Oryctolagus cuniculus: one gene and its partners. The protein of the gene in region 4 purifies or fractionates together with the protein of the main gene of each other region. This does not show direct contact. Links are inferred from orthologs where the notes say so. Each region holds a gene or a part of one and is shown on either strand. Other genes may lie near its edges. The genes, in order: AIFM1, FLNA, FLNC and OTUD1.

Region 1 (3,757 bases), on a different chromosome or scaffold from region 4:
CAAATGGAATATTTTAAAAAACCCAGATGTCATAATTTTCTCCTTACAGAAATATTCCTAACAGGACTTTTAAAAGTAGTAAAAATTTCCTCTTAATTGAAGTAAGATCTGATTTTTAAAAGTTTAGTAATTTAAAATGCCAACAAATGAGCTTAGGGAATTCTGTCTCCCCCAAGAAATCATGTGCAGAGGGAGGGATGCCTATAAGCATGGTTTAGAGAAAAGGAGCTCAAGAGGGCAGGTCAGTAGTTTGGGGCACAGTGGATAGAGGAATCCAGAGACCATGAGACCCAAGAGGAAACCTCCTTTCATCCCCCAGTTAGGAGTCATTCAGCTCTGGAGGTGCTGCTCCATGTAAACATCCAATCTCTTGATTGGATGTTTATTTCTTCACTTATTCAGCAACAATTTACTAAGCACCTACTAGGAGCCAGACCCTGGGCTAAGCTCCAGAGATAGAACCATGGCTGAGACCTTAAGGCATAGTTCCTGCTTCCAGGAAGCCACGGGCTAGCAGAGAGACAAACAAGGATCAGGCTTGAAGGGCCAGGAGAGTGTTCAGACAGAACCTCTGAGAGGACAGGGTTAAGTGTTGTGGGCAGAAGCCACCGCAGGTGCACGCAGAGGGGGGTCTGGAGAGGGAGGGGACTGGGGGAGCTGAAAGGAGTTCTGAGTGTGGAGTAGCTGCAAAGTGCTTGCTTTTGTGTCGTATGCACAGCTTTCCCCCTTCACTCACCTGCCCCCTTTACAAGAGAACAGAATGGAATTTAGAAGAATCAGATTTTATTTCATGATGTGAACATTAAGAATTTGCCTATGTGGCTGAAAATATTCCCAAGGGAATTGATCATTCACACTTCTACACCAGAGAAAGTTTGCTGAATAATAATAATAATTAAAAAAACCCCGCTCCTTTGCCCATCCAAGCCACAGTCGGGGAGGAAGACGTGCTGGCCTACTCCATTACAGGGCTTCAGTCTTCGTGGATGTTGAACAGTTTGGCTACTTCATTGAGGTCTTCGTGTTGCTCGCCATCCTTAATGATCTGAAGGAGAGAGTAAGCACAGGTCCCGAACTCACCCCAGCCATGTTCAGGCTGGGCCCATATCACACTGGGAGGGAGTTGTGGGAACAGCATTCTACTAGCTCAAAATGACCAGTGTGCCAATTCACAGCGCACCCAGCTCCATCCCAGGGCAAAAAGGAAACACTCCTGAACCCAGGCTACAGCTTTGTTCTGCTTGGGCACCATTGCACCGGGGTGATGATGCAGCTCAGGGCACCCGGTGAAGCCACAGGAGTGCATTCTAGCCCCAACTTCCCATCTGCCTCCAAGTGCTCTGGCAGGTACCTACCTTCCTTGCTATTGGCATTCGGTTAAAGATGTTCCACAGCACGATCCCCACCACCACTTTGTCCCTGAGGTAGAAGATGACACCTTTGCCATAGTCCTCCCCCTGGGCTGGGGCCTGTGGGACACCAGGGGTGCTGGGAGGAATCGTGATTTCTGAGGCCTCCAGCTCTGTCTCACTCTCCGATCGGATACCTGTTCCTGTGGCCAATACACAAAACACATATACACAGTCAAAACTTCAGTCCTTATGACATTCTAGAAGGCAAGTTTTTTTTTCCAAGGCTTGCTTCAAGCTGCTTCTAGGTGATTTTTGTATGCTTTTTTGGTGGACTCTGGCCATCTTCAGCCCCTCTCTACTGATGAAGCCAAGAAAAATTCTTTCTTGCCAGCTCTTGGGCACTGGACCAGTCCTGACCCCAAATTCCCTTCCCTTCCTATCTCATTTAAAATATTTTAAAAGATGCATTTATTTGAAGGGGGGGGGGATCTTTCATTCACTGATTCACTCCCTACATGGCCATAACAGCTGGGGCTGGGCTAGGTTAAAGCTAGAAACCTGGGACTCCATCTGGGTCTCCCATGTGGTTAGCAGGGGCCCAAGTACCTGGGCCATCATTCGCTGTTTCCCTAGGTGTGTTAGCAGGGAGCCGGATCGGAAGTGGAGCAGCTAGGCCTGGAATCAGTGCTCCAAAATGGGCTGCTGGCACCGCAGGCAGCAGCTTACCCACTGTGCCGCAACACCAGCCCCTCAGCCTCCACTTATGCGGTGCATGTTTCCTTGTGTCTGATTTTCTTCAAACTGCAGAGCTCTTGTTTTTGTCATCTGAAACGTTGTAGAGCTGCATGGCCTTGTTCATTAGCCACAAGCCACATACAGCTATTTAAATGAAAATTATTTCAAGTTAAGTAAAATGTCAGCTCGAGTTACTTGTTTGCACTCACCACGTTTCAGGCACTCAGTAGCCCCAAGTGGAGAGAGCAGAGCCAGAACATTTCCATCATAGCAAAAGGTTCTATTGGATGGCACTGCTAAGCAGACACTCTAAGCAGAAGGCACTTCCATATGGAAAAACCAGAGCGGGGGCGTTTCTTCCTAGAGGGGGAGGGGTAAGGGAAGGAGGGAGATGGCACCCTGGGAAGGGGGAATCTTGTCTTCTGAGAACCAGCAGGCTCTAAGTGACACTGCCCAGTGGACAGAGCAGTGAGTGACCTGGTATCTATAAAGCACGTGGCCCTCTCTCCTGGACCCACGTACCAGGACTGCCCAGAATTAAGAGGCATGGAATACATTTGAGTCACACAGGAAAGGGACCTAAACATCCAAATAATGTTTCGTTTTCTGCTTCTTAAAGAGCAACTTGCCCTTGAAACACCTTTGGCAAGAAGATACAGAGGTTAAAGAACTTGAGCCAAGGTCGTGGAATAAGGCCTGGGAGTTAATGAAAGAGACGTGTGTGGGAGAGAAGTCCATTCCAAGAGAGGTGCCTCCTGTCTAAAGGCAATCTGGCATTCAGATCTGATGAACAGAAATGGGCTCCAGGCCTACTCAGTCCTACTCAGTTCACTGCCCAGGAGCCGTGGAGGACGGCAGGTCCGAGGCTAAGGTTCCCAAGCCTGCTTCTGGAGATTAGCACGAAGTCAAGAAAAGCAAAACCCAAACCTGCAAAGTCAGGCTTTCTTCATCACATGGGTCTTGCCAGGCCCCAGAGACAACTGAGACAACGGGGTGGCTGAGCCGCCGCTGCCCGCCACCCACACTATTTCAGTCTGTGCTTTGAGCGGGATGCATGCTTTTGCCAGATCACAGCCCACTAAAGAGTGAGGACTTTGGGTCTGGTTTCTTGTCAAGCACACCATGAAGAGAGGCTTTCACTGGCAGCCCCCTCTGGCCACACAGGAACCCCTTGTTCAGGAGAACCTGGACCACTGCTGCTCGACACTCTTTCCAAGCGAAGTGGTTGGGCTTCCTTACCTGACTGCTCCGTGGCAGACTTTGGGCTGTCTTGTGCAGTTGCTTTTGCAAAAACCCCAACTGTGGGCAAACTGCTGTCCACAAGCCCGATAGCTTCATAGCCAACATCGGGGCCCAAGTCACTCCTAAGGAAGGAGAGAGAAGAGGGTGTCCTGTCACTCTCGCACGGGCTCAGGGACTTAGGCTGTGTGACAATAAGAGAAATGCCAAGCTGATCTGTCACTGGGAGGGCATCTGGGGACAACCATGAGAGGCACCATTATCCCAGGCTGCTTTTATTTTTCCTTAAGAAGCCACTGTGGCCGGCGCTGTAGCATAGCAGGTAAAGCCAACACCTGCAGTGCTGGCATCCCATATGGACACTGGCTCGAGTCCTGGCTGTTCCACTTCCCATCCAGCTCTCTGCTATGGCCTGGGAAAGCAGTAGAAGA
Region 2 (4,307 bases), on a different chromosome or scaffold from region 4:
GTGCAGGACTCAGACTAGGGGGTAGGGGAGAGGTTTGCATTAGCCTTAGTTTACGTGGCCCATGTGTGCAGTGTGGAGGCAGGGAGCCCAGCTCAGGGGCTGAAGTCACTTTTGGGTAAGCTGGACGGGTGGCTTGGGCCAGGCCAGTGGCCATGGGATTTCAGGTGGGAGCCCAGCCAGGACAGGGTACTTGGAGAATAGAGTAGCTAAGACCTGCTGATGGGCTGGGAAAGGTGGGAATCGGGGGTAGTTGTGAGGCTGGAGCCCTAGCCATGAGCTGGGTGGTGTGGGGTGCAGGTGAGTGAGGCCTCCCAGGGCAGCAGATAGCCAGCTGTAGAGCCCAGGAGACCCACCTGGGCTGTGGTCAGTCAGCATAGTGCCTAAGCAGGGGGAAGAACCCTTGGCCAGTAGGGGGACTTGGTGGCAGACTGGCCAGGGGTGCCCCCTGAACTTGACCCTCAAGCAAGTTTGGTGCTCCTGGCTGCTTCCTTGGCAGGAGGCCAGGCTACAGGGGTGCTCTCGCTGCCAGGCCTCACAGCCCACAGCTCCCCAAGCCTCCACAGCTGAGCCCCAGATCATAACGTCACTGTACCTCCCCTTTCCTCGGGCACTCTGGGGCCCTAGAGGCTATTCAGCTTCTCTGCCCTTGCAACCCAGTGGTGGTGGCTGTGGCTTGGGCCTCCTGTCCCTGTCCCCCTGGGTGCTGCCACTGCTCTGCCAAACCTGCTGTGCTGCACTGCCTGGGTGCTAACCTGGCTGCCTCCCGCCTCCCTGCTCCCGCCTGCGCCGGGCTGCCTCTCACAGTGAGCCGCTGGTTGAGCGAGCATTCTCAGTTGTCAGGAGACTCCAGTTTCACCTCCAGGCCTGGAGGGGGGTAGGAAGGCAAGTGTCACGTCCCCCCACGCTGCAGCAGGACTCTGCCTCACCGCGTCCACACAGCACTGGGGGCCAGGGCTGGGCCACAGGGGGTCCAGGCAGCCGTGGGCCTGGCTAGAGCGCTGCTGTTTGTCAGCACGGGCCACGATGCCAGTGAGGCCAAGTGGGGCAAGGGAGGGAGGTGGCGGTAGATGCTCATGCCGAGATGGGCCCTTCCTTCTCTTCCTGGGCACCCGAGTGCCCCCGGTCAGGCCTCTCAGGTGTCAGGGCTTGAGGTGGTCAGGAGAAGCCTTCCTGTCTTCTGAGAAAGCACTCGCCATCCCAGCTGAGGGTGGGGCGGGAGGCCTGGCTGTGCTTGGTGGTGGCGTTGAGGCCTGGGGGGCAGCCGGAAGACAGGAGCAGCCCAAGCGCAGAGCTCACGTGCTGGCCTCCCTTCGGGGACCTGCCCTGCCCTATCAGGTGCTGGCATCGGCCCCACCATCCAGATCGGGGAGGAGACGGTGATCACCGTGGACACAAAAGCGGCAGGCAAAGGCAAAGTGACCTGCACGGTGTGCACCCCTGATGGCTCAGAGGTGGACGTGGATGTGGTTGAGAACGAGGACGGCACCTTTGACATCTTCTACACAGCCCCGCAGCCAGGCAAATATGTAATCTGTGTGCGCTTTGGTGGCGAACATGTGCCCAACAGCCCCTTCCAAGTGACGGTAAGGAGGGCCCGGGGGCAGGATGCAGGGGGCTCTTGACAGGTCCAGCCTGGCCCGTCCCCCAGGGCCCCGCTGCGACAACAGACTCTCCAGCTCCCGCTCTGCTCCACAGGCTCTGGCTGGGGAACAGCCCGCGGCACAGCCCCCGTTACGGCCTCAGCAGCTGGCCCCACAGTACACCTATGCCCAGGGTGGCCAGCAGACCTGGGTACGGCAGGGCTCACCACCTCGCGGATCGCCCGGCCCAAAGAGATGTTCAGGGCTGGTGGGCAGGGAGTCCCATGGGCCCCGGCCGCTCTGCCACCTGCGAGGAGGGACCCCCACGTGCCCCCACAGCCACTTACCTGGGCCCCGTGTCTCCATGCAGGCCCCAGAGAGGCCCCTGGTGGGTGTCAACGGGCTGGACGTGACCAGCCTGAGGCCCTTTGACCTCGTCATCCCCTTCACCATCAAGAAGGGCGAGATCACCGGTGAGCATGAGGCGGGAAGGAGCGCGGGAGCCCGGGCGGCCGGGGCGAGCCACTGGGCGGCCCTGACCCAGCTCCGCTGCCCCACTGCCCTGCTGCCCCGCAGGGGAGGTCCGCATGCCCTCAGGCAAGGTGGCACAGCCCTCCATCACTGACAACAAGGACGGCACCGTGACCGTGCGCTATGCGCCCAGCGAGGCTGGCCTGCACGAGATGGACATCCGCTACGACAACATGCACATCCCAGGTGGGCCACCCTGCCTCTGGCCGGCCGCTGCCACCGCCATCTCGCAGAGAGGTGGGGGTGGAGGCACATGAGGCTGCCGTTTGACACGGCCCCCTTCCCGCCTCAGGGAGCCCCCTGCAGTTCTACGTGGATTACGTCAACTGCGGCCACGTCACTGCCTACGGGCCCGGCCTCAGTCACGGAGTGGTCAACAAGCCCGCCACGTTCACCGTCAACACCAAAGACGCGGGAGAAGGTGAGCGGCGCGTGCTGGGCATCCGGGACCTCCCCACTGGGGCGGCTGAGGGCTGAACGTGGGCGGGGTCCCTAACGGGGTAGCCCCGCCTGCCGGCCCCCGCCCCGCCCCGCCCCACCAGCGGGGCTCCTCCTCAGCAGGCGTGGCGGCGTGTCCCCGGGCACGGTGCCCACCCTCACCCGCACCTCTGGCCAGGGGGCTTGTCGCTGGCCATCGAGGGGCCTTCCAAAGCGGAAATCAGCTGTACGGACAACCAGGACGGGACGTGCAGCGTCTCCTACCTGCCCGTGCTGCCCGGCGACTACAGCATCCTGGTCAAGTACAACGAGCAGCACATCCCAGGCAGCCCCTTCACCGCCAGGGTCACAGGTGGGTGGCACTGGGAGCGGGGGTGGGCGTGCTCTCCCCTTGCAGCCCGACGCAGTGACGGATGGCCGCCCCCCGCCGCCCCCGCAGGTGACGACTCCATGCGGATGTCCCACCTGAAGGTGGGCTCTGCGGCCGACATCCCCATCAACATCTCGGAGACGGACCTCAGCCTGTTGACGGCCACCGTGGTGCCGCCCTCGGGCAGGGAGGAGCCCTGCCTGCTGAAGCGGCTGCGGAACGGCCACGTGGGTGAGAGGCTGAGGGGACTGCGGAGGAAGAGCGGCTGTGTGGGCGGGCGTGGGTGGGGGTGTCCGCGCCCGCCCCCGCTGACAGCCCCGCCCCGTGCCCAGGGATCTCATTCGTGCCCAAGGAGACAGGGGAGCACCTGGTGCACGTGAAGAAGAACGGGCAGCACGTGGCAAGCAGCCCCATCCCGGTGGTGATCAGCCAGTCGGAGATCGGGGATGCCAGCCGCGTGCGCGTGTCCGGCCAGGGCCTCCACGAGGGCCGCACCTTTGAGCCCGCGGAGTTTATCATCGACACTCGAGACGCAGGTAGGTGGCGGAGGCGGGCCCGCGGGGGCGGGGGACGTGGGTGGCGCTGGGCAGCCTGGCTCAGGGCTGTCCATCGCCCAGGCTACGGGGGGCTCAGCCTGTCCATCGAGGGTCCCAGCAAGGTGGACATCAACACGGAAGACCTGGAAGACGGCACGTGTAGGGTCACCTACTGCCCCACGGAACCCGGCAATTACATCATCAACATCAAGTTCGCTGACCAGCATGTGCCTGGTAGGTGTGGTGACAGTGCAGCCCCGCCCTCCCCCCAGCCCTACCGCACCCGGGTGTAACCCGCGCGGGGCATGGGCCGCACTCTCTCCCTGCAGGCAGCCCCTTCTCCGTGAAAGTGACAGGCGAGGGCCGGGTGAAAGAGAGCATCACACGCAGGCGGCGGGCCCCCTCGGTGGCCAACGTTGGCAGTCACTGCGACCTCAGCCTCAAGATCCCTGGTAGGGGCTGTGGGGAGCCAGGGAGGGCTGCTGGGAGCAGGTGGGGGCACAGACCTCCTACCCACCGGGCCACCTCCTCCCTGCAGAAATCAGCATCCAGGACATGACCGCACAGGTGACCAGCCCCTCGGGCAAGAGCCACGAGGCCGAGATCGTGGAAGGCGAGAACCACACCTACTGTATCCGCTTTGTGCCTGCTGAGATGGGCACGCACACAGTCAGTGTCAAGTACAAGGGCCAGCACGTGCCTGGAAGCCCCTTCCAGTTCACCGTGGGGCCCCTGGGGGAAGGAGGAGCCCACAAGGTTCGTGCTGGGGGCCCTGGCCTGGAGAGGGCTGAAGCCGGAGTGCCAGGTAGGCCCGCTTGCCCACCCAGCTCTTGCTCTTCTGGGTGCCCGGGG
Region 3 (4,307 bases), on a different chromosome or scaffold from region 4:
GGAGCAGTGGGATGAAGCAGCCCCGGGAGGCAGACAGCTCTGCCCTACTTGCTGTGTGGCCCTGGCTGGCTCCCTTCCTCTCTCTCGACCCCGGTTTTCATCTCTAGGTGAAGGGGTTGGGCCTGAAAGAGGGTCTCTGCCCTCCGAGCCCTCGTGCCTGGGGCCCCAGGGCCCTACCTGTGAGCTCCCCTTTCTGCACCGTGAAGGGGATGACCAGGTTGAAGGGCCTCAGCATGGACTCCAGGGGCTCCACGGGCACGACTGGCTCCTCCGTGGCCTGCAGGGGGTGAGAGCAGACAGTCAGAGGCTGGGGAGGGCCTGGGCCCAGAGTTGGAGAGAGCGAGGAAAGAAGAAGATGGTTAATGGTGAAACCAGAACAGCCTGCAGGAAAGGTGCAGCCAGCTACAGGAGAGGGGGTGCCATGTCCAGCCTGACTCCTGCCTGTTCCCCAAGAGACCCCCACACCAAGCCCCAGCCTGCGGAGAGACAGGAGGAAGAAACGAAGGAAGGGCAGGAGAAGGAGGCGAGGTGCGCCAGTACCCAGTGTGGGGGGCAGGTGCCGGGCCGGGGAGGGGCGCAGGGCTGGCGCAGCTGCAGCACCTCGGAGGGCTCCTCCACCTGAGGCAGGGGATCACACGCCTGGAGAGGCAAGGCACGGGGGGCACAGGATGCGGCCGACTCAGCGCGGCCCTGGGTGGGTACCCCAGCTGCTCCGCCCTCTGGAGGGCCTCCCCCTCCTGCAGGGCTGCCCCTGGGGACAGTGGGACTGAGGGTCAGACAGTTCTGTCACAAAGCTGATGGCCTGGGCTACACTCAGCGCCCCCTATGGGACGCTGTGGGGAATTCAGGGAGCACTGGGGGCCCTGGGACCCAGCAGGGATCTCTTGGTCCCTCCCCTCCGGCCACGCCCAGCTCTGCGGCCTCCCCGGAACTTACCAGCACGTGGAAGGGGCTGTTGGGGATGTGCTCGCCCCCGAAGCGGATGGTGATGACGTACTTGCCCGGCTCGGGCGCTGTGTAGTAGATGTCGAAGGTGCCGTCGTGGTTCTCGACCACGTCCACGTCGAGCTCTGCCCCGTCCGGGGTGGACACCGTGCATGTCACCTTCCCCTTGCCCGCTGCCTTGGCGTCCACCGTGATCACGGTCTCCTCCCCGATCTGGATGCGGGGGCCCAGACAGGCACCTGCCACGCAGCAGAGCCGGGTCAGGGGCTGTGGGTCCCCAGGCCCAGCTCGGCCCCTTCCCAGCTGCCCTCTAGCACCTCAGCCCCTAGCAAGAAGAGGAGAGGAAGGGACTCACCCAGGCCGTGGCCTCCAATGGACACTGGAAATAGAGAAGAGTGTGAGGCCGTGCTGCGCTCAGGTCGGGGGTGGGAAGGGGAGCCAGGGGAGGCGGGGGCGAGGGCCAAGGGTGGGCGCCCTGCATGGCGTTCCCCTGGGGCTGGGTGGTAGGCAGGGCAGGGGCCGTGGGGCGGGTGCTCACCTGTGACGAGGCACTTGCTGGCATCCCCAGTGGGCAGGGCGTGGATGCGGAAGGGGGAGTAGGGAATCTCGTCGCCGCCGTACTTGATGGTGATGGTGTAGCGGCCACTCATGTCGGGCAGGTAGGACACGGTGTACGTGCCGTCCCCGTTGTCCCGGATGTTGGCCTTCTTGGGCTTACCCTCAGGGTCCTGGGGCCGGGTGAGGTGGGGAGGAAGCAGAGGTCAAGTTCTGTCTATGCCCAGAGCCCGGCTAGCAGGTGGACTGGGTGTGGACTCACCAGGATCTGGACGGTGAGCAGCCCCTCACCGGCATCGCGGGCATCTATGGTGAACTCCACAGGCAGGCTGGCTGGGATGCCGGCAGCGTTGAGGCCAGGACCGCTGGCCCGCACCTTGCTGGCGTCATGGGCTGGCAGCACCTTGATCTTGAAGGGGCTGGGGGCGGTGGAAAGGGATGGACTGTGTTGGCTGGGGCATGACGAGGCTCAGGCAGATGGGCAGGGCTGTCCCCACAGCCCAGCAGTGACCCAGCAGAGCCCACCCCAGAGCTCAGCCATAGAGCTGGGAACCCGAGGCTGGTCCTCACCTGCGTGGCACCTCCTGGTCGGCGTACTTGACCGCTACCGTGTAGGGCCCGTCAGTGGCGGGGGTGTAGTGGACAGTGTGGGTGCCATCCCCATTGTCACGCACCTCCACAGGCTCGGCCACACCTGCGCAGGGGGCGCAGGGTCAGCAGGGCCTCCTGGATCCCAGCCCCCCTCCCAGCACCCTACCCCAGACAGTCTGTACCTGTGGGTCCCAGCACAGCCACCTGCAGGGGGGCCCGGCCAGCCTGACTGCAGTCCACGGTGAAGGTCTGGGGGACGCGGGCCCGGACGCCGGCACCCAGTCCTGGCCCTGAGCACTTCACCTTCCCAGGGTCTACCACATCCTTCACCGGCACCCGGAACGGGCTCCCTACAAGGAGGAGGACATCGGCCCTCACCCAGCTGCTGGGGTGGGGCCCCTGACACCCAGGCACCGCACAGGAGGCAGGCAGGTGCCCGCAGCACTCAGGAACTTGCTAAGAAGGCACGAACAAGGATCAGTGAACTTGGCCGCAGACAGAGGCTGGGCAAACCTTGCTTGGCTGGGTCACGGGTAAGAAAGAGGCCTTCCTGAATTAGGGAAATGCTAAAAGTGGAATGTGGCTTAAAAAATAAAACACAGTGTTGACATTGTGGCTGATACGATTAAAAAAAAATGCGGCCCCCCCGCACACCTGGGATGGGCCGCCCCCCGAAGGTGATGTTGACGTCGTAGTCGCCGGCGGTGAAGGGGATGTACTCCACGGTGCAGCTGCCGTCCTTGTTGTCCTTGCAGGACATCTTGGCTTCCGAGGGGCCCTCGATGGCCAGGCCGAGGCCTCCGGTGCCGGCCCCCCTGCAGGAAGAGGGCAGCCTCCCTCAGCTGTGGTGGAGGAGCAGGGGAGGGGGCGGGGCCGCTCTGTGACGCTGAGGGGAGCTTGGCGTGGGGGTGGGGCACCCAGAGAGGGGCGAACAAGGTCAAGTGGCCAGGCTGAGGGCGGTCAGAGGCTCAAGTCAGGCTTGGGCCAAGGGGAAGGTACCTGGTCTCCACCGTGAAGCGGTTGGCCTTGTTGACCAAGCCACCCTCCAGCCCTGGCCCGTAGGCCCGGACCCGGGTGGGGTCACAGCCCTCAGTCACGCCCACGCGGAAGGGGCTCTTGGGCACAGGCACGTCATCATACAGGACCTCCACCAGATGCACACCTGGAGGCGAGCGCCAGAGTCAGCCATGGAGGGTGACTCCCCCCGCCCCGCCCCCGCCGTCCTGAGCGTGCCCCTCACCCTCTTCATAGGCTGTGTACTGCACGCGGTAGGTGCCGTCTCCGTTGTCGGTCAGGTAGGTGTCCGTCTTGGCGCCGGAGGGGTTGAGCACCCGAGCCGTGATGTGGTTGCCGCCTGTGGCCGTCAGGGACCTTGCGTCCACCGTGAACTCAGTGGTCACCTCCCGCAGGACACCTGGACCCCAGGACAGGCGCGCTCAGCGTGGCCCGGGGGCAGCCTGCCCACAGCGGGTCCCCCTCTCTGCAGCCCTGGGAGCTGCGAGCCGTCTCCCACAGCCTCTGCCCTTGCTGCCCTCACTCTGTCCACTCTGGGCATCCCAGAAGGCTGTGGGCCCTTGAGGCAGGCCTGCCCACCCCCTGCTGGTGCCTCCCTAAGATCCCCCATAGATCTCTTGCTGCCCCCTTTCCCCAAAGCTCTCCCTCGGTATTCGCTGGAGCAGGGGGGCGGAGCCTCTCTGGATGAGGGACCCTTAAATTGATGAATGAAGGGATCTCCCCAGAAAAATGCTTTCTCACTCGCTCAGTGGCTTCCCTGGGGTAGCTGGGGCCCCTAAGGACTGGACTGCCTTCACCCAGCCCTCAGCTCTGTTCCTCCCCCGACCCTCCACTCCAGGCTCTCTCTCACTCACCGTGCGGCTCCACACCAGGCCCCGAGACCTTGACACCGCTCGTGTCGACGGCGGGCTGCACGTGGACGCGGGTGGGGAATTTGGGCACAGGGTGGCCCCCATATTTGATGGTGATGGTATAGGTGCCGGGGAAGGCTGGGCTGTAGGTGATGTGGTAGGTGCCGTCAGCATTGTTGTGGATCAGCACCTCAGCCTTGACCCCGGCGTCCGACAGGATCTCGATGGTCAGCTCGGCCTCGCCCGCCTCCGAGCAGTCCACAGTGAAGGTGGCTGCCTCGCCAGCCTTGCCACGCTCCAGGCCTGGCCCACTGGCCCGCACCTTGCTCGGGTCGAACACGGGCCGGATGG
Region 4 (4,787 bases):
GTTTACTAACAAGCACACGGTGATATCACGGCACCCCAGATGGGACTTTTGGGGACTTTTAGGAGGCCATATTCCGGTATCACAGCCATTCCCATCACACACCTGAGCCTCACTTCCCATCATGCACCAGGTGCCACACACCTTCCTAGAGGGTCCTGACTGCTCCAGCCCCACGTGGAGACGCCAGGACACTGTCCAGAGGCCCAAACAAAGGGGCCCAGAGCCTGCCAAACCCTGCTCCACTTGCATACTCACCTATGGCTCCACCACCCCCTCCCCCAGGAAAGTGTGAAGCCAACTGTGGTGGGGGCTGGCACTCACCTGTGAGCGTGTACCCTGCCCTTAAATGAACCCACACCTCCGCCTTCAATTCTTTCAGGCCTGGGACGAGCCCCCAGCAGGCGCCCATTCACCCTCTCCTGAGTTAAGGCACCTGGTGGGCTGAGGTCAGGAGTCCCCGCGAAGAACTCAATTCCGGCGCCTGGGGAGGGCATTTGGGCAGTGATTCAGCTGCAGCCTGGATGCCCGCCATCCACAGCAGAGCCTGGTTCCAGTCCTGGCCCCTCCACTTCCTGTCCAGCATTCCTGCTAACGGGCACGCTGGGATGGCCCAAGGAGCTGGGTCCCTGCCACCCGCGCCTGTGGGGACCTGGACCGAGTGAGTGCCTGGCTTGTGGCTTCGGCCCGGCCCAGCCCTGGCTGCTGTGGACACTTGGGGGGAATGCATCAGCAGATGGGAGGCCCGACTCTCTGCCTTTCAAATACAATGAAAATAAAATCCGAAATGCATTTGCAAGAGTCTGGCTTCTTTGAGAAACCCTGGGAATTCTTTCTTCACTCATCCCTTCAGTCAGTGTTAACACAGCCGCATCAGGTACTCAGCACTGGGGAGAAGGCGAGGGAAGGCATGCCCCTAACCCAGGGCTGCTGCCTGCGTCTCTAACTTCAGAACTCAGGAGAGCAAAGGCGGCCCAGGCGCAGCAGGTGGCGAGCCATGCCTTGCGTTTGCCTGCAGACAGGGGCTACGGGCGCAGACCAGCTGCATTCAGCTACAACCGCAACGCTGGCCCCGAGCAGCTCCCACCCGGCCTACCCAGCGCGGCCCAGCTGCAGCACGCGAGAGCCGAAACGCGCCACGCACCTGGGGAACCCAGGTCGGGCTGCAGGAGACGCGCGCCACTGCGCATGCCCAGGAGCCCCGGCCCCGCCCGCGCCCCGCGCTCCCGCCGGGCCACGCCCTTGACGTCGGGGGAGCGCGGGAGGGCGGGGCGCGGCCGGCGGGGCGGGGCGGGGCGGGGCGAGCCGCGCGCTTGACTGACGGGCCGCTCGTTCCGGCGGCCGCGGCGGCGGTCACGTGACGCGGCGCGCGGCCTGAGGTAAACAATCGCGGCGCCGCCTCCCGGCCGCCGCGCGCCCCGCGCTGCCCGTGGCCGGAGCGCAGCGCCGCGTCGTCCGGACACTGGCCGGCGGCCCGGGCGGGCCGAGCGCGCGCTGTGGCGCAGCAGCCCGTTTGGCCGGAGGCCCCGCGCGCTATTCGCGGGCGCTGACGCGCGCCGAGGCGGCCCGTTTCTATTCCGGGGGCCGCGGTCAGCGCGCTCGGCCGGGCCGCGCCTATTAAGGGCCGCGCGGCGGCGGCCGGGGCCATGCAGCTCTACAGCAGCGTCTGCACCCACTTCCCCGCCGGCGGACCGGGCCCCACGCCCGCCGCGCCCGCCGCGCCCACCGCCGCCGCCTTCAAGGTCTCCCTGCAGCCGCCCGCGCCGCCGGCCAGCGCCGCGCCGGAGCCCGAGACCGGGGAGGACCCGCCCGCCGCGCCCCGGGAAGCCGCCGCCGCCGCCGCCGCCGCGATGCCCGCCTTCTCCTCCTGCTTCGAGGTGGCCGCCGCCGCCGGCCCGGCCGCCGGCCCTCCCGGCGCGTCCTGCAAGCCGCCGCGGCCGCCGCACTACACGTCCACGGCGCAGATCACCGTGCGCGCCCTGGGCGCGGACCGCCTGCTGCTGCACGGCCCCGAGCCGGCCCCAGCCCCGGCCCCGGCCCCGGCCCCGGCCGCCCCGCGCGCCCGCTGCCTGCTGCCCGCCGCGCCGCGCCGCGCCGCCCCGGCCTGGCTGCTGGAGCCCGACGGCGCGGACAGGGACTTCCGACGGAGCGAGCACCAGCAGGCCCTGGCCGCCGGGCAGCGGGGGCCCGCGCCGCCCGCCAGCCCCGAGGAGCCCCGCGCAGCCCCCGGGCGCAGCCCCCGCGGCGACCTCGCGGGGCCTGCCGAGCCCGCCCCGGCCGAGGAGGAGCCGGCGGCGGCGGTGGTGGCGGCCGGGCGGGCCGAGCCCCGCGACGAGAAGCTGGCCCTGTACCTGGCCGAGGTGGACAGGCAGGACAAGTACCTGCGGCAGCGCGACCAGTTCCGCTTCCACATCATCCCCGACGGCAACTGCCTGTACCGGGCCGTGAGCAAGGCGGTGTACGGCGACCAGGCCCTGCACCGCGAGCTGCGCGAGCAGACCGTGCACTACATCGCCGACCACCTGGACCACTTCGGGCCGCTCATCGAGGGCGACGTGGGCGAGTTCCTCGTGGCCGCCGCGCAGGACGGCGCCTGGGCCGGCTACCCCGAGCTGCTGGCCATGGGCCGCATGCTGAACCTCAACATCCACCTGACGACGGGGGGCCGCTGGGAGAGCCCCACCGTGTCCACCATGGTCCACTACCTGGGGCCCGAGGACGCCCTGAGGCCCAGCATCTGGCTCAGCTGGCTCAGCAACGGCCACTACGACGCGGTGTTCGACCGCTGCTACCCCAACCCGGAGTACGAGCGCTGGTGCCGGCAGACGCAGGCGCAGCGGCAGCGCGACGAGGAGCTGGCCAGGTCCATGGCCGTGTCCCTGTCCAAGATGTACATCCAGCAGAACGCGTGCTCGTGAGCCCCCCCCCGGGGGGCGGGGCGGGGGCGGCGGCGGGAGCGCTGACCGGGGTCGCGCCCTGGGCGGTGTCCCCGTAGACGCCCTGCGGCGCGTGCTGCCTTAAGTCTTGTCTCGCGTCCCTCTTCCCTGGCTTGCTCTCCGAGCCGCCGGCTGCTGGGCACCTGCGCGATTCCGGAGAGCTCTGGGCGCCCCCGCTGCCTCCTCCTGGCCTGCTGATGCCTCGCCGCGTGGATCTGGTCCCTTCCCGGCACTCTATTTTATATATTAAAAAAAGAAGAAGAAGAAATAATGTATTTTTGCACAACCTTTTTAGAGACTGGCGGCCCGCCCTCGCGGGATGCGACGGGCGGCTTTCGGAAACTGCTTTCCACGACCTTGCTCTCTGGGACAGGCATCCGTGGCGGGTGGGCCTTCTGTCGTGGACGTGGGAGTCTCGCCGTCCTCTCTGATTCCGCGTGGACGCGGATGCGTGCGTGTATCCGGATGCTCCACCCATTCCGTGTTGACAGAGTTGTTGTTACGGAAATCATTATTTTTCTAGAGATGGTCGATTTTTTTTTTTTTTAAGAACCCAAGGGAAGGTGTGGGAAGATTCTGTTTGTTTTCCTTCAGAGGCAGTGCCAGGTCTTACTTGAATTAAAGTCTTGATTTCTGCTGTGGGCGGAGTGCCCGTGATGGCTGCTCTCGGGTGTGTGCAGTGGGTGTCTGCCCTCGTTGCTTTATCTCCAACTGTCACTTTGTTACACGAGGATTTCCACTCCAGTCTGTGACCAGATAAACCTCCTGCTTCCTGGCTTCTTGGATTCAGCTAAAGAGATCTGGAAACCAACGTAAACGCCTGGAGCCAGCCCTGGCAGGAATTTGACGGCAGGAAAATACTGTCTTAATATTGTGTTCAAAAGGCAAAATAGGAGTCCCCTGTGTTCTGTCAAGATGTCTGTGAACAGAGCTTGTGTGGTTTGCTGGGTCAAACGATGTTTCCAACCTACACTCTATCTCATTGCCACTTTACCTATTTTTAGTCCTATTTATTAAGTAATGCAGTTTGTACTTTTTTATTTTGTAACATTTTGTGATTTTTTTGTACAATACTGTATTTGAGCAATTCTCAGCTGATGGAATGAATAAAATGGCATAATTTTACTTTTACGACGTCTCTTTGGATGGAGTGTTCTTTAAGATGACGGTGTGTCTAGGAGCCGTTCGCACAGGTACGCGGGTTTTCTCACGTGTGGGCATGGAACCGACTTGAGAGGTTCTGCAGGTTCTCACGTGAGCAGAATGCTGTCAACGCTAGTGATGGCCAAGGATTAGTCCCAGGTGAGATGTAGCTGAAAGGAGGCGCAACCCAAGAGACTGCCCTCCTTACGTTACGTGTTGATTGGAGTTCCTGTTTGCAGTTGGAGCTGTGCCTGTTGGCTACTGCGAGGGAAGCGCGCGTTCTGTGTGAACCAGCAGTGTCTAAGTCTCGTACGTTTATGTTCCTCTCACCGCCAGCGTAGATCTTTAATGTATTTTTTTTTTTGCATTTTCTCAAAGAATTATTTCAAAGAGTTAGAGAGGTAGAGACAGAGAGAGGTCTTCCATCTGATTCAACCCCCCCAGATGGCTGCAACGGCCAGAGCTGCTTCCGGGTCTCCTCCCACCCCCGACATGGGTGCAGGGGGCCCAAGGACCTGGGCCATTTCCACTGCTTTCCCAGGCCACAGCAGAGAGCTGGATGGGAAGTGGAGCAGCCGGGACTTGAACCGGCGCCCATATGGGATGCCAGCACAGCAGGTGGTGGTCTTACCAGCTATGGCACAGCACTGACCCTGATGGTGAATGTTTTTAAAGGGGAACCAAAGCTGTGTTTTCATTTAAATAAAAAGG

The links.
Region 1: the proteins of OTUD1 (region 4) and AIFM1 purify together in Homo sapiens (affinity purification with mass spectrometry; 3 studies listed by BioGRID, with this or other methods). This does not show direct contact. The link is inferred for Oryctolagus cuniculus from reciprocal best matches to the Homo sapiens genes OTUD1 and AIFM1.
Region 2: the proteins of OTUD1 (region 4) and FLNA purify together in Homo sapiens (affinity purification with mass spectrometry; 3 studies listed by BioGRID and IntAct, with this or other methods). This does not show direct contact. The link is inferred for Oryctolagus cuniculus from reciprocal best matches to the Homo sapiens genes OTUD1 and FLNA.
Region 3: the proteins of OTUD1 (region 4) and FLNC purify together in Homo sapiens (affinity purification with mass spectrometry; 3 studies listed by BioGRID and IntAct, with this or other methods). This does not show direct contact. The link is inferred for Oryctolagus cuniculus from reciprocal best matches to the Homo sapiens genes OTUD1 and FLNC.

Annotation. Positions count from the first base shown.
Region 1 is NC_091453.1:107,805,944-107,809,700, forward strand, and holds the end of AIFM1 (apoptosis-inducing factor 1, mitochondrial), read right to left. Parts: intron 3,452-3,757; coding exon 3,327-3,451; intron 1,553-3,326; coding exon 1,356-1,552; intron 1,046-1,355; coding exon 974-1,045; 3' UTR 767-973; downstream 1-766. UniProt on the Homo sapiens protein: Functions both as NADH oxidoreductase and as regulator of apoptosis.
Region 2 is NC_091453.1:132,581,197-132,585,503, reverse strand, and holds part of FLNA (filamin-A), read left to right. Parts: intron 1-1,335; coding exon 1,336-1,583; intron 1,584-1,695; coding exon 1,696-1,791; intron 1,792-1,950; coding exon 1,951-2,053; intron 2,054-2,156; coding exon 2,157-2,297; intron 2,298-2,403; coding exon 2,404-2,532; intron 2,533-2,727; coding exon 2,728-2,901; intron 2,902-2,988; coding exon 2,989-3,150; intron 3,151-3,251; coding exon 3,252-3,455; intron 3,456-3,536; coding exon 3,537-3,689; intron 3,690-3,784; coding exon 3,785-3,907; intron 3,908-3,993; coding exon 3,994-4,260; intron 4,261-4,307. UniProt on the Homo sapiens protein: Promotes orthogonal branching of actin filaments and links actin filaments to membrane glycoproteins. Anchors various transmembrane proteins to the actin cytoskeleton and serves as a scaffold for a wide range of cytoplasmic signaling proteins.
Region 3 is NC_091434.1:165,040,603-165,044,909, reverse strand, and holds part of FLNC (filamin-C), read right to left. Parts: coding exon 3,960-4,307; intron 3,506-3,959; coding exon 3,332-3,505; intron 3,254-3,331; coding exon 3,091-3,253; intron 2,907-3,090; coding exon 2,746-2,906; intron 2,442-2,745; coding exon 2,274-2,441; intron 2,195-2,273; coding exon 2,071-2,194; intron 1,920-2,070; coding exon 1,763-1,919; intron 1,674-1,762; coding exon 1,484-1,673; intron 1,325-1,483; coding exon 1,301-1,324; intron 1,185-1,300; coding exon 937-1,184; intron 640-936; coding exon 541-639; intron 278-540; coding exon 178-277; intron 1-177.
Region 4 is NC_091444.1:105,924,391-105,929,177, reverse strand, and holds OTUD1 (OTU domain-containing protein 1), read left to right. Parts: upstream 1-1,405; 5' UTR 1,406-1,643; coding exon 1,644-2,915; 3' UTR 2,916-4,064; downstream 4,065-4,787. UniProt on the Homo sapiens protein: Deubiquitinating enzyme that specifically hydrolyzes 'Lys-63'-linked polyubiquitin to monoubiquitin.